Linked DNA regions of Caenorhabditis elegans. The protein of the gene in region 1 interacts with the protein of each later gene in a pairwise test. Each region holds a gene or a part of one and is shown in the gene's direction. Other genes may lie near its edges.

The links.
Region 2: the proteins of unc-1 (region 1) and unc-9 interact in a protein complementation assay, tested with the Caenorhabditis elegans proteins (one study listed by BioGRID).

The regions. Positions count from the first base shown.
Region 1 is NC_003284.9:1,056,985-1,064,319, reverse strand, and holds unc-1 (Band 7 domain-containing protein), read left to right. Parts: upstream 1-1,866; 5' UTR 1,867-1,876; coding exon 1,877-1,942; intron 1,943-3,634; coding exon 3,635-3,748; intron 3,749-4,901; coding exon 4,902-5,026; intron 5,027-5,084; coding exon 5,085-5,358; intron 5,359-6,034; coding exon 6,035-6,249; intron 6,250-6,413; coding exon 6,414-6,489; 3' UTR 6,490-6,833; downstream 6,834-7,335.
Region 2 is NC_003284.9:13,210,476-13,217,227, forward strand, and holds unc-9 (Innexin unc-9), read left to right. Parts: upstream 1-1,914; 5' UTR 1,915-1,956; coding exon 1,957-2,068; intron 2,069-2,497; coding exon 2,498-2,533; intron 2,534-2,585; coding exon 2,586-2,736; intron 2,737-2,787; coding exon 2,788-2,879; intron 2,880-3,366; coding exon 3,367-3,494; intron 3,495-3,941; coding exon 3,942-4,360; intron 4,361-4,480; coding exon 4,481-4,580; intron 4,581-5,229; coding exon 5,230-5,352; 3' UTR 5,353-6,250; downstream 6,251-6,752. Other genes in the region: R12H7.4 (G_PROTEIN_RECEP_F2_4 domain-containing protein), read left to right, coding at 6,662-6,752. UniProt on the Caenorhabditis elegans protein: Structural component of gap junctions. Plays a role in maintaining gap junction activity to promote locomotion.

The DNA.
Region 1 (7,335 bases):
TGAAGAGAGCGCGCGCGCCTCCATCTCCTCGCAGCTTCTTCTTCTGCTGCTGCCGCTGCTGCTTCAGATGCTCCGGCCGGAGCTGTAAAGCTGGTGGCACCCCAAGACGAAGGAGCAGAGAGAGGGAGAGATGTGCTCTCCCTACATCGATTGTGCTCGAGACGACGTGTGCTCCCCGCGGCTTGGGGAGTGGCTGGCATGTGGGCACGCTTTTCTTTTGGGGGCCTCCATCTTGCTTTTATTACTACGAGCTTTGTCTGCAAAACGAGAAACCACAACAATTTGGTTTTCTCACGCGAGTGGAGCCTTTTTCGATTCTTCTTTCTATCATTTTTTATTTCTTCTCCCACCCCTTTCCTCTTTTTTTTTCTCTTTCCTATTCATTTTCGATTCAATAGACTCTTAGGGTCCCTTTGCTCAAGCGCAACCGCAACATTGATGATCTTTCACTCGTTTTCCGCTCTTTTTTGCCACAGCTCCCCATTTCTTTCAAGTTTCTGTGAAATAGTTACATATCCTTTCAGTTTACATCTTGATCAACATGGATCAGCAATGTTTCCTAATTAAAAAAAAAATGTTTCAGTTTGCTTATTTTTTAAACTCAAAAATATAATTCTTGATATTTTGTGTCGCTGTTCAACGATTTAACTTTGCTTAAAGTAATATCAAAAATGAGATAATCTTCATCGTCATAAATTTTTTGAAAAACCTTTGTCAGAGATTGAAAATGGGTCAGTGCCAATATCATTTTGGTCAGTGCCTGTATCATTTTTGTCATTGCCATTATCATTTGTTCAGCGCATTTATCATCTTGGTCAGTGAAAATTACCTAATTAAATTTATTGTTTTCCAAAATAGTAATGCATTCAAATTGAAAATAAAGTGGTGATATTTTCTTTAGTATTTTCAATTTCAAGAAGTATGTATGCACATGGAGACCCACCTGCCAAATAACGAGAAGTTGCTTGCAAATTTGATTTTTTTTTGGATTTTTAGCTAGGAATTCATATGATTATGATTGCTGTAATTTTTTCTTTGCGTTTTCTGTTGGTGATATTGTTTTTCAGTGTTTCCAAGTTCCATACTCCTTTTTTCATATAAAAATGTTTCAAAAACATAACCTAACAATTTAGACTCTAGTTTTTCAATGCAGATTTGATTTAATTTCAGTACTTTCAAACGAACATTATCGTGATTTATGTTTTTCGTTTCAAAATTTTCGTTCTTATTTCATTCGCCGCCAAAATCAGTAAAAGTATCTTTAGTCGCTTAAAAAAGTAAAAGTAAAAACAGATTCATCCACTTTAGCCGTCAGCTTGAAAGAAAAAAAAATGCTATCCTCTTTCCTTCGTCAACTCTTCGTCCGTATTTTCTTCGCCTCTATTTTCTATTCTGCCTCTCTCAGCTTTTTCGCTCCGAAGCTCCCTCGCCAAAGTGGGTGGAGCATAGGAACTGCAGAGGGGTCCCCCTTCTTTCTCCCCTATTGAATTACTCTGAGCTGCGAAGCGTAGCTCATGGTTGCCCAAAGTCAATTCTTTCTCTCTAGTCAAATGGAAGTTTTTTTTCTTTTTTTTTCTTTCATCTTGTTCGTCTTTTGAAAAATGTATAACTGAAACATAATATAAAAATTAATTAAAATTCGAAAAAACGTCCTTCCCAATCATTTTTCAGGCACTGACAATATTTGAATTTGCACTGACAATATTTGAAGTTGCACTGACAATATTTGAATTTGCACTGACAATATTTGAATTTGCACTGACAAAATTAGTTTTTGCACTGACCCATCAAGAAACAGTTTATTTCTTATATTTTCCGTTCTTTTTTCTAAACTATTTTTTTTTAATTTTAACCGTCCTAAAAGTTTTCCAGGTAAATGTCAAACAAGGAAAGAACAGAGCCTCAGTGGGTAACGCCGTCGTCAAATCAGGTATCACAGCAAGTGCGTGTTTCACTCACATTTTTCAAACTCCCCCCTCACACGTCTAGTCACAAAACCCCTCCCTATCTGATCTGAGCATAATCCAAAAAAAATACTGTTGGCATTAACCATCACTCACATCTATTCTATCCACGCTTTTTGAGCATGCTTCTGCTGTTGAGCAGAGTAACCGTTCTGTAACTCACAATGTTGTCGCTTTGTTATTGTCTTCTTTCACACGTGAATATTAACGATTTGGGAATTGGAAAAAAAGGAAAAGGAAGAGAAAGGACTCGCGACACCAACAACAAAGAATTATTCTGAATAAGGGCTGTGACGAGCAGGAAGTAGTGTAATTTTTAATTGGACGGTTTTAAGAAAAGTGTTATTTTATTCATAAGTTCTTTTTAGTTTGTTCGATAGTTGAATTTCATGAATTTTGCACTTTATAGATAATAGTGCATATCAGGGCTGTTTTTTGTTTAAAAAACAAGTACTCGTGTATTAAAGATGGAATACAGTCAGTGGGAAATTGCTTTAAATACACTTAAAATGGCCATTATAATATTAAAAAACTTCAGACATTTCTTTAGATTTAAAAATTTTTAAAATCAACTTTTTAGTAAATTTCCAGAAGAAAAGGACTTTTTGTGAAATTGAAGAGTTTCTGCGAGTTAAAACAAAATAATTGAACTGTAATTAGAATACACAACTTACATTAAACAAAAATCATTTTTCGGGCGATTTTCAAAATTATGATCGGTGTTTGAGTTTTTACCATTTTTTGACTGCACATAAAAAACCAAACAAATTTCTTCCAATTTTATCATTTACTGTTTAAAAAAATTTTCCCACTGACTAAACTCCACCATTAAACATGATGTGATTGTTTTTCTTTAAACTATGAAATCGATGTTTCTAAAACGTTACAGTACACAAATACCAAAAAGTTGTGCCACTATAGTTTTTTAACTGAAATTTTTTTTAACTTTGAGTTTTATGTTTTCAATACACTTCAGTATTTTCCAGAAAAAAACTTACTCAAGCTTAATTTGTCGATTTTAAAATTTTCCAAAAAAATGTAAAACGATTCTCATTAAGTCGACCAAATCAAAAATGGAATTGGATTAACAGATTGAAAAAGTATATTTCCTTATTAAAAGCTTAGTTATTTTTTGTTAATTTTTGAATTAATGATACAAAATTTGGCTTTTTTAAGAAATATTTTCACATTCCCAAAATAAAAATTTTAAATTGAGAAACTTCAATTTTCAAATTTTCATATTTATTAGTTGTTTTTTTTTCTGTTATGGGTGGGATTCTAATTTTGCTTCTCATTCATTTTCCTTGGCGTGCAATTTTTATTTAATTAGCCATATGTACTTTTATACACGCAACAACAAGCACTTTATCAAAGGGCACGTCAAAAGTTCTCGCAAATTCTCAATTTACTTCGCTTTACGCTCAGAATAATTATTTTTCCCTACGGAGAAAAAGAGTCGCCCTGGGAAAGAAAGGGTAAGTGGGGGAGGGGGGTACATTTTAAATGTGCTCTTTTCTCTCTATCTCAGGCCAAGTTGATTTATGTCTCGAGTCCCTTTTCCTTTTCTTGAATACCCGAAGATTCCAATACTTTTTGCATTCCATCAAAATTTGGAGTAAAATATGGAATCGATATGGAAAAATCTTGAATATTGATAATTAACTTTGCAGGATGTGCCACCTGATTACGAGACGATTGGCACAATCTTCGGTTATGCGTTACAAGCTCTTTCATGGATACTTATTATTGTCACGTTTCCATTTTCCATGTGTGTATGCTTAAAGGTTTGTTTTTTCTTCCAATTATCTAATGAAAAAGTTTTTAATTTTTCGGGGAAAAATTTAAAAGAAGTTGAGTGTTTTTAAAGGTGGATTTGGTGGGGGAAACGAAACCCATAAACGCCGTTATTTAAAAAATGGTCAATTTAAAAATAGTCAGCTTTTTAATTTTTTCCCCCAAAATGGTATTGATTTCATTTAACAATTTGACATCAACATTAATAAAACATTAAGATCACGTAAAATTGTGCTAAAAACGAAAATTTTCACGATTTTTCTAAACTTCACATACTCGAAAAAAAAACTATGATAATTAATTGGCAAAACAACTTTGTATAAAAAGTTAGTTGAAAATCAAACACAACTTTAAAAACGTTTCTTGTTTACTAAATTCAATCAAAAATAATTTTCTGTGTAAAAAACGTTTGTTTGAAGTTTCAAAGCGTAGATTGTAACTTTTTCGATTTTTACTGATTTAACAATATTCAATTTGATGGAAGAGTATGATGATCTGATTATTTTGTTTTCTTAAAAATTAAGATTAACAAATATAATTGTTTAAAAATTTTTCTGTCTCACAGTTTTCAATTTTGTTCAATTTTCCCAACAAAAAAAAATCAAATGGCTAATTAAACAGCGCCCACTTTTTTGGGTTCTTAGATTTTTGGGTTTTTGGTTGTTATTTTCTGATCTAATGTAACGTAATGTAATAATGTAATGTAATATAATATAACGAAATAACTGAAGAAAAAAAATAGAGCCATTAACTAAATACTCCAAAAATGTGGGCATTGCCTCGTTCAGAGCAAAATACCAATTAACAATAAAACTGACCAATATTCTAATTGCCCTGACCAAAACTTTAATTGCACTGACCACAAATCTAACTGGATTAACTGAAAGTTTGAATGCACTGGTCAAAAATATTTTTTGCGCAATGCAATATTCAAACTGCACTGATTTTCTGACCTGGGCTCACTTTTAAGTCAAACAGCGACATTAATCAATTTTCTTTAAGAAGTAGAAAACTTGGGGTTCAAAGTTATTTATTGATTGTTTTTATTCAAAAATCTATCAAATTTTCAAAACACAATCGATACCTTTTTTTGGAATATATTAACTCCAAAAGTTCCTAAAATGATACATTAATGATTTCCAGGTTATCAAAGAATACGAGCGAGTTGTAATCTTCCGTATCGGTCGTTTGGTGTTTGGAGGAGCTCGTGGTCCTGGAATGATCTTCATCATTCCCTGTATTGATACTTATCGAAAAATTGATCTTCGGTATGATTTGACTTAATGTCTCGAAGAAACGTTTATGATTATTATTATTCTCATTTAGTGTTGTCTCGTACGCAGTTCCACCGCAGGAAATCCTGTCAAAAGACTCTGTGACTGTATCCGTCGACGCCGTTGTCTACTTCCGTACCTCCGACCCGATTGCTTCCGTCAACAATGTTGACGATGCCATTTACTCCACCAAACTGCTAGCGCAAACTACGCTGAGAAACGCTTTGGGTATGAAAACTTTGACTGAAATGCTCACAGAACGTGAAGCCATTGCTCAACTTTGCGAGACCATTCTTGATGAAGGAACTGAACATTGGGGAGTTAAGGTGAGATTTTTTTTCCCAAAAGTATAATAAACTGATCACTCAATGCTCATATTTGGGGCTCCTTCGCCAAATAATACTAAAACTGAGAAGCTCAATAAAAACAATTTCGTAACCCAAACAAACACACCGATTAGCCTCCAGAGAGTTAGTAGTTATTTTGGGGATAAACAAGTATGTTTTGTTGGAGAAATACCCAGAAATCTCGACGAACGGGTAAATATGATGGGCAGTAGTTTTAAGGGGTGGAAGTTTGACAAAAAAAAAAGTTTTTGATAAAGTTTCTGGTTTCTAAAATAATTACAAGAATGAAATGTTTTGCTTTAAGTTTTAATTGCACTGACCAAAACTTCAATTCTACTGTCTAAAGTTCTATTTGCACTGACCAACACTCTTATTGCACTGACCATTATTCTAATTACACTGACCACAACTTCAATTGCACTGACAAAATTTTGAATGCACTGTTAAATTGAAAAATTTGCGTAAAACAATATTTTAACTGAACGGACTTTCTGCGATTTGCCAAACTAATTCACACTCAAAAACTTCTTCTTTCTTGAGAAAACATTTATTTTTTGTCGCAAAAAAATATAGAAAATCTATCATGTTACTTTTTTTTTCAAATCTAGTCAATTTCATGTCTGACAATTCAAAGCCATCAATCATTCCATTACAGGTAGAACGTGTGGAAGTGAAGGACATCCGTCTCCCCCAACAACTCACACGTGCCATGGCCGCCGAAGCCGAGGCCGCGCGTGAAGCTCGAGCCAAAGTTGTCGCCGCCGAGGGAGAGCAGAAGGCGTCACGGGCTCTCAAAGAAGCGGCCGATGTCATTCAAGCGAACCCAGTTGCTCTTCAGCTTCGTCACTTGCAAGCACTCAACAGCATTGCGTAAGTTGCCACACTTCTCGAATAAATTTAATTTCGGTGAGAAGAGAGATGCGTGCTCTTTTGGATTGAATTTCGAATTAGTCACCAACTTTGAATTGTACCAATTTTTGAAACTATGGAAAATCGTAGAGGAACCGAGCTATCGCTAATCCAATTTTTTTCAGAGCTGAGCACAATTCTACAATTGTTTTCCCCGTACCTGTGGAAATGTTTGGAGCATTTATGAAAAAAGACCAATAATCATATTTTCCTTTTTTTCTCTATAAATGCTGCACCTTTTGAAATTTGGATCCCAGATAGTGCATTATTAATAGATCAATCATTTGTATTAATTCAAAGTCTATATACATACAATTATCTTTCAAATAGCCTTTATCCTACCAATACTTTCCTAAACGTTCTCGATTTGCACAAAAAAAAACCAGCCAAACAAAACACAAAACTCTCTAATTTCCCCCAAATTCCGATTTGCAACTGTCATTCAACCCGATCATGTATTTTCTGAACTTTTTTTCAAAATTTACGAAACTCTAGTTCTTCTTATTTTTCATTTATATATTCATGAATAAATCAGTTATTTATTATGTGAAAGTATCAGAAAAAAATTAAATTTTCTGTGAAATGTTCAGGAAAATATATCATGGAATTTTTGAATACCACAAATGAGCGGTATCACAAAACTAACAAAAAAAAATAAATATAAAAATAAAAAAACCGTTTTTTTTTCTAGAACTGTATACTTCAAAGGTTTTTGAGTTTTTGAAGTGTTTTTCTGGCAACAATCTAAAAACTTTTTCATCCTTGGTTAAGAAACTTAAAGTATTAGTGCAAAGTATAGAAAATTACAAAAACATTTTCCGGAATGGCATTAAAATTTTGGCAGGAATTCAAACTTCTTTAAAAAATTGTGGTCATTAATTCAAAAATTTCAAAAAAAAAGTATGGGTAAGAATTCAAATTTTTCCGAGAAGTTAGGACAGGAATTTTTTTCTAAAAGTGATTTTTATTAATTTGAGATTGCCTGAAAAATATTGATCTTGACATTTATAACATTGGAAAATTGGGATTTCTAATTATCAAAAGCTA
Region 2 (6,752 bases), about 12 Mb from region 1:
CCAATGTCTTCATCTTTATCCGTTTTTTGTCATTCTTCATTTCTCTCCATCAGCTTTTGTGCAAATGCAGTGCATCACGTCATTCAGGGACAGAGCCACAGGAGACAGAAGAAAGGAAAAAGAAAAGGGGACAAAAAGGGACCCTCTTCTCTTCACTGGATGCGAAATTCAGAAGGAAAATGAGAGAAAAGGAAGGAAAAATAGTGTGCCAATGTGATGCTTCTTCTTTTTTTTTCTTTTTTCTTACTCCGTGTGGTTTTCGGGTATATATGTGGGGCTGTCTATGTCTTCATTTTCCCACTGCTCTCTGTCCACTCGCTCCACGTCCCCGGCTCCCTCTCTCGTTTTCTTCAATTGGCCATCAAAATTCGTGGAAGACGAAAGAAAAGAAAGAAAAGCGAGAGGAGGAATAAGAAAACGTGGAGTAAGCCAGGAGACCTCCTTCTCTCTTTATCTGTCTCTCTAGTATGCATTTTCTCGAGCAGGCTAGTAAATTTTTTTACTATTAGAAGGTGCCTCACATAGATATTTCCCATTGTACTGAGTTATGGTTTTAATTGTTTCCAATGTTCTTGTGAAAGTAGTTTGGTTGAAATACGGAATTGAATTATCAAGATATTTAACGAGAATTGAACTGTTTTTTTTTTCGGCCATTTTCAGTAGATTTCATTGGATTTTCTTAGAATTTTTGTACCTTTTCATCTGAACACAGCTTTTTTCAAAAATATATAATCGCGAAACGCGCTAGTTGGTTTTTGGATTGACTGACATCATCCCACTAGCGACAGGACAATTTTTAACCTAGAAACACTGATGGCACTTTTCGTAAGTTTTGTAAAACCTTGAGATTTCGGCAACAAAGCCGCCAATTCCCGTCTCCTGATTTGAAATTCATGCACTCTTCTTTGGTCCTGGCAGAGTTCAACTCTAGTGTGAACTACAAGTTGAGTCCACCTGAACTTTTGCTCTTGCTCCATTCCTTTTTCGTTTTAAAATGTAGGTTCATACAATAGCTTCTTAATTAGAATTCAGGATGTCAGTAATAGATTCCTGTGAAAGACTCTGTCAAGATAATTTTTAGATTCTGAAAGAACATTCGGAATATAGATAAATTTGTATTACGCATGTAGAAAATGTATACTTTAATTGCTATTAACTAGGGATTCTCTGATTTGCTGCATAAATATTCTTTTGGAGCTTTTATGTTAACTTTTTTCATATTTTAAACATTAAAAATGATATTTTCTTCAAATTATCGTCTTTTCATTAAAAAATTTGTTTAAGATGACCACAAATCAGAACAATAGGCCACGATATATGGGTAGGTTTGAATCGAACATTAAATTTGATAAAAAATACGATAGGTTTTACTGAATTTTTTTTTGACAGTTTCACAAATATAAAGTTTTAGTTTCAAAAAATGGGAAAAAAAATCATAAGAATCCCGAACTTTGCCTTAGTTGTTTTGTTTTCGTTTGCTTTGCATTTTCTTGTAAAAATCAAAAATTCTCACGGTAGCCTTTCAATTATTAAAAATATTTAAAAGTCGCATTCAATTTTTCAAAATTTGAAAAAAAAATCCTCCAACAGCAAAACGCCATTCCCCTTTTTCTCCTTCAAGTTTCTCCCTTCCTTCGCCATTCCTTGTTCCCGACGCTTTTTCTTTTTTTTTCCAATGCATAATTAGAACGACCTGGCTGCCATCAACAGACGTTGTCGTCCGTCGTTCACTTCTATTTTCCACCACCTCCGGCTCCCCAGCTCCTGTTTTCCACATTTTTCGCACCCTTCCAATGTCCGAACAAGACATGTTTTCAAACAAAAATTACTAGAACATCATCCATTCTCCATTTCTGCCCGTATTTTTCATCTCTTGTTTTCCCGTCATATCCTTACATCAAATTTTTTTTTCAGATCGGAAAAGGCGCTACGGGCGCCGTCACGACATGACTTAGGATGAGTATGCTATTGTATTATTTCGCGAGTGCTGTGAAGTCAATACAGTTTCACGTCGATGATGACATTATTGACAAGCTTAACTACTATTACACCACAGCCATTATCACAGGTATTCTTTTCTTAAATAAAATGTATCAAACTTTTTGATGAAACATAGCATACTGGTTTACAAAAAAACACATGAAAGAGAACCGAAAAGGTTTAAAATGAAAATAAATCTTCATGAATTAGTACCCATTAACCAAGGACCAAGGACTTGCTCTCCCTTTCATTTTGTTACATTTTTGATCAAAGATGTTTCCAATCAAGCATGTGTTTCTGAACCGTTGGGAAGTATTGAAATAGAAAAAGTTTGAAATAAATGTTTTGAAGGAGCTTGAAATCAAAAAATCATTTGATAAAATAGACATTGAAAAAGAAATTCAACATTAATTATGGCAATTTTGAAGCCATAAAAAAACACGTCTCTAGTTCATATTATCTATCTCCCGTTCTCCCATATAAATGAATTTTTCTCCAATAATTTCTTAATTTTCAGTGTTCGCGATTCTCGTCTCTGCTAAACAGTATGTCGGTAAGACCAAACATTTTCTATCATATTCTCACTGTCAACAAACCTTTTCTAGGTTTTCCAATCCAATGTTGGGTACCTGCGACGTTCACCGAGCCCATGGAGCAGTACACGGAAAACTATTGTTGGGTTCAAAACACCTACTTTCTCCCTTTACACGACTACATTCCACATAACTATGCAGAACGTGAAAATCGACAAATCGGGTTAGGCTCTGTTAATCTAAGAGTCTCATTAAAAAACGAACAATTTTTCAGGTATTATCAATGGGTTCCGTTTGTGTTAGCTCTTGAAGCTCTTCTTTTCTATGTGCCGACTATTGTATGGAGACTGCTCAGCTGGCAATCAGGTAGGTACTTCGATTGCAAAATAGAGTCTCCAATTTTACCAGTTACTTTTTGTATTGTAAGTATTAAAATAATAAAACGTGTAGTGGATGCATTTTGCAATTTGAACGAATTTGCATTACCTAAAAATATATCCAGGAAGACACATAAATATGTGACGTGAGGTCCGAAGCATCAGCCTACTACCAAATAGCAAAAAACAAAATTGTTGTTTTCAAGAAAAAAACGAAGAAAAAGCGTCAAGAACGGCGTGAAGAAGAAGAACAACAAAAATATCGCGGAATGAATGCGCGGGCCTTCGTCGATACTTTTCGCCTCAAGCGCTTCGAAGCTTTCCTCTCCTTCTCTCACCTCGAGGGAGTATACATAAATTTTCTTTTTTTTTGAAAGCTTCTTGCTTGTTGTTGTTTAGGACTAAAAATTTTTTAGGGAGCAAAAAAAAATAAAATTCAGGAATTCTAATATATAAGCTAAATAGGCAAATTTCAGGAATTCATGTGCAGTCTCTGGTTCAAATGGCTTGTGACTCCAGATTGTTGGATTTGGAATCGAGGAACAGAGCGTTGCAAACCATCGCAACAAATGTAGAAGAAGCGCTACACGTGAAACATCAAGTGGTATGAAAACTGTAAAACACAAGAGTACCCAATACGCACAAAACATTCTAGCGTCTTTGAGTCGCCCTGCTGTGTACCTTCAAGCATAATCACAGCCAATAATATTAATAATAATAAGAATATATGTAAACGTTTTTTACTTTTCTGATTTGCATTACTAACAGTTCAATTTTAACCAATTCAAGCTACATTCCGCAAAACATTCCGCAAAAAAAAAAATAGAGTTACCAGTTATCAATGATCGGGGTACACCTATTCTAGAGATAATCTGATTCAAAGCATTGAAGCTCCGTAAACCTAAGTTTTGAGATCTGAATTTTTGATGCTCCACACCCCTCTCGGAGAACTCCTTCAAAACTGAAAAAAAAACAACGATTTCTGAAAATTTTTGTTTATCATCAGATTTTTTCGGTTTTTCTTCTAATCTTATTATTTTTAATTTTACAGATGTCCGGAAATCGTCTGAAACTGCTCAACTTGATTATTTGCACACGATCTTCCGGTGCTGCTGTCACGTTCCTCTATATCTCTGTCAAAATTCTGTACACCGTGAACATCGTCGGCCAAATCTTTCTACTGAACACGTTTCTCGGTAACCGTAGCAAATGGTACGGACTGCAAGTTCTCAACGACTTGATGAACGGACGAGAATGGGAGGAGTCTGGTCATTTTCCACGTGTAACGTTATGTGACTTTGAAGTAAAAGTACTGGGAAACGTGCACCGACATACAGTACAATGTGTACTTATGATTAACATGTTCAACGAGAAGATCTTTCTGTTCTTGTGGTTCTGGTACTTCCTTCTTGCCGGTGCTACTTTGTGCTCGCTTTTCTACTGGATCTACATTTCAGTGGTGCCAAGCAGGTATGTTGATCATGTTAAAAACATTTTAAACATGACGAAAAACAAATGTGCACCCATTTGTCTCAATTAGCTTTTCAAAAAGTGAACGAAAGACTCATTCACGTAATGTTTTCACTGCAGGCAGCTCAACTTTGTTGGAAAGTATCTGACTGGAATCGAGGGATATAAAATGGTGGATTCGCAATCACTACGACGTTTTGTATTTCACTTTTTAAGACAGGTAATTTAACCTTTGGAAAAACCGAAACAAAAAATGAAGTGCGGCGAAAAACAAAAGAACTTCATGTTCAAAAATTTTAAATATTGGAAAAAGCTCATGGAATTTAGAGTAAGATAGAACAAATGAAATTTTAGAGATTTCTAAGCAGATTTTTTAATATGACAGACTTCGCATATTAGATATGCACCCTTCTTCACGAATTGACAGCTTTCATTGATTTTTTGAAAAAAATTTCAATGACTGTGAAACTACAGAAATATAGAAAAGAAACATACCGTATTTCTTCTATCGCGAAGTCATACAATAGGTTTTAAATGAAATACGACTGGGCAAAATTAATGAAAGCTGCAGTGCTAACTTTTGAGCTAGTTGTTGTTTTACTCTTAAAAAAACAAAACTGCAATTAAAATTTCCAAGAGAAATTTTAACTGCAATCCTGTTAAAGACGTATTTAAAACCACCGTGAGTTAGTAAAACAAATAATATACAGTAGTTAGAACTTTCCCGGTTCATAAGTTTTTGATATAACTATCAATAATGTCAACCAAATTATACGTATCTTGAACACCAATTAATTTTATTAGATTTGCACTATTGTGAAAAAAAAAGAAATAACTTTTACACTGACCGAAATTAAACCCCATTTCAGGATGGTGTTTTCCTACTTCGTATGGTTGCAACTCACGCCGGAGAACTACCCTGTTACGAGCTTGCGAAAACGTTATGGAACAACTACTGTGACAATAAAGAAGGAAAAATGCACGACGTGTGACACACCCCAACTTCGTAGCTTTTTCAATTTCTTCTAACACCAGTTCTCAAATTTTGATCATGAAATCTCACTTTCGAAAATCATAGAATTGTCGTCAATGGGTGTAGTCGTCTTTAGCTGATATTCTCAATTTTCTGTTGCTAGAAAATATCGAATCATCAACTGCATTTAAACATCCAGATCAATGGAAACTATTCACTTATCTTTTCCTCCTCATCATAATTCTCTTGAAAACCAAAACTAAACAATTTTGGAGGGTTTTAGAAGAGTGCCAAAACTTTTAAACTTTTGTATTGAATCAATTTTTAAATTTCTCAATTGAATACTTCAAAAAGTTGCTCAAAACTTTATCGATCCATTGTCATTTTCACCTCGAGCTTTTTGTCAATTTCACATTTAATTCAATTGTTTTCTAATTTTTTTTTTGTAAATTCTATTTACCAATTTCCAAATTTTCTATTATCAATTTATCAAAACTTTAATGACGCGGTTGTCTTTATGAATGTTCATAACTTTCAAATTATTATACCTAAATTTCCTCTAAAATTAACTCCCAAAAGTCTTTTGTAATTTTTTTCTCCAATTTTATTCCCTTTCCCCCCATCCTCCCACTTCTCCTTCCTTCTGTGGTTTCTTTCAAATGGCATCATGTCTTTTCAAATTACCTGGATTCACGTTTGTAATATAGATAATTTTTGTCCTTCCCCCCAAACTCACTTGATACAAAAATTAACTTTCTCGCCCTGTAATTCATATTTCTTCCAGTTTGTCTTCATCATCCACCTGCCAATGTTCAGTTTTCACCAAAGTTTTGAAAACGGAACCCACAAACTTTGCCATATTTTATTGTGGATTTGGATTATTTAATATTATTTGAAAATGAATAAAATAACAATTTTTCATTCTACTTCTCAGTAATTTTATAGTAGAGGAAAATAGCATACTTGCTTTGCAAATAAAAACAATTAAATAGAAAAGAAAAATGGCAAAATATATTTTTTTGAAAAACTATATAAAAACCGTCACAAAATTTACAGACATTTTGAAGGTTGTAAATTAATTAAGTTTTTGAAGAATGTTTAAATCTATTAGAATTCTTTACTTTTTTCACTGTCATTTTCGAAACAAACCTCACTTGCTCTGCAAAGACTAGAAGATCCAAAAACCAGGCTATTCAAAAAAACATCACAAGATGTCACAATAGAGCTATTGGAATATTCGATCCCAGTTTCCGGGGAAACAGTTTGCAAACACCAACCATCCTACGCAACTCATTTCTTCTTGTTTTGTGCTCGGTGTGTGGTCGAATATGTCAAATAATAATAGTTCCACTAATTCTACTGACACAAACTCTACAACAACCACTACAACAACTGCCGAACCAACTAATATCACTGATA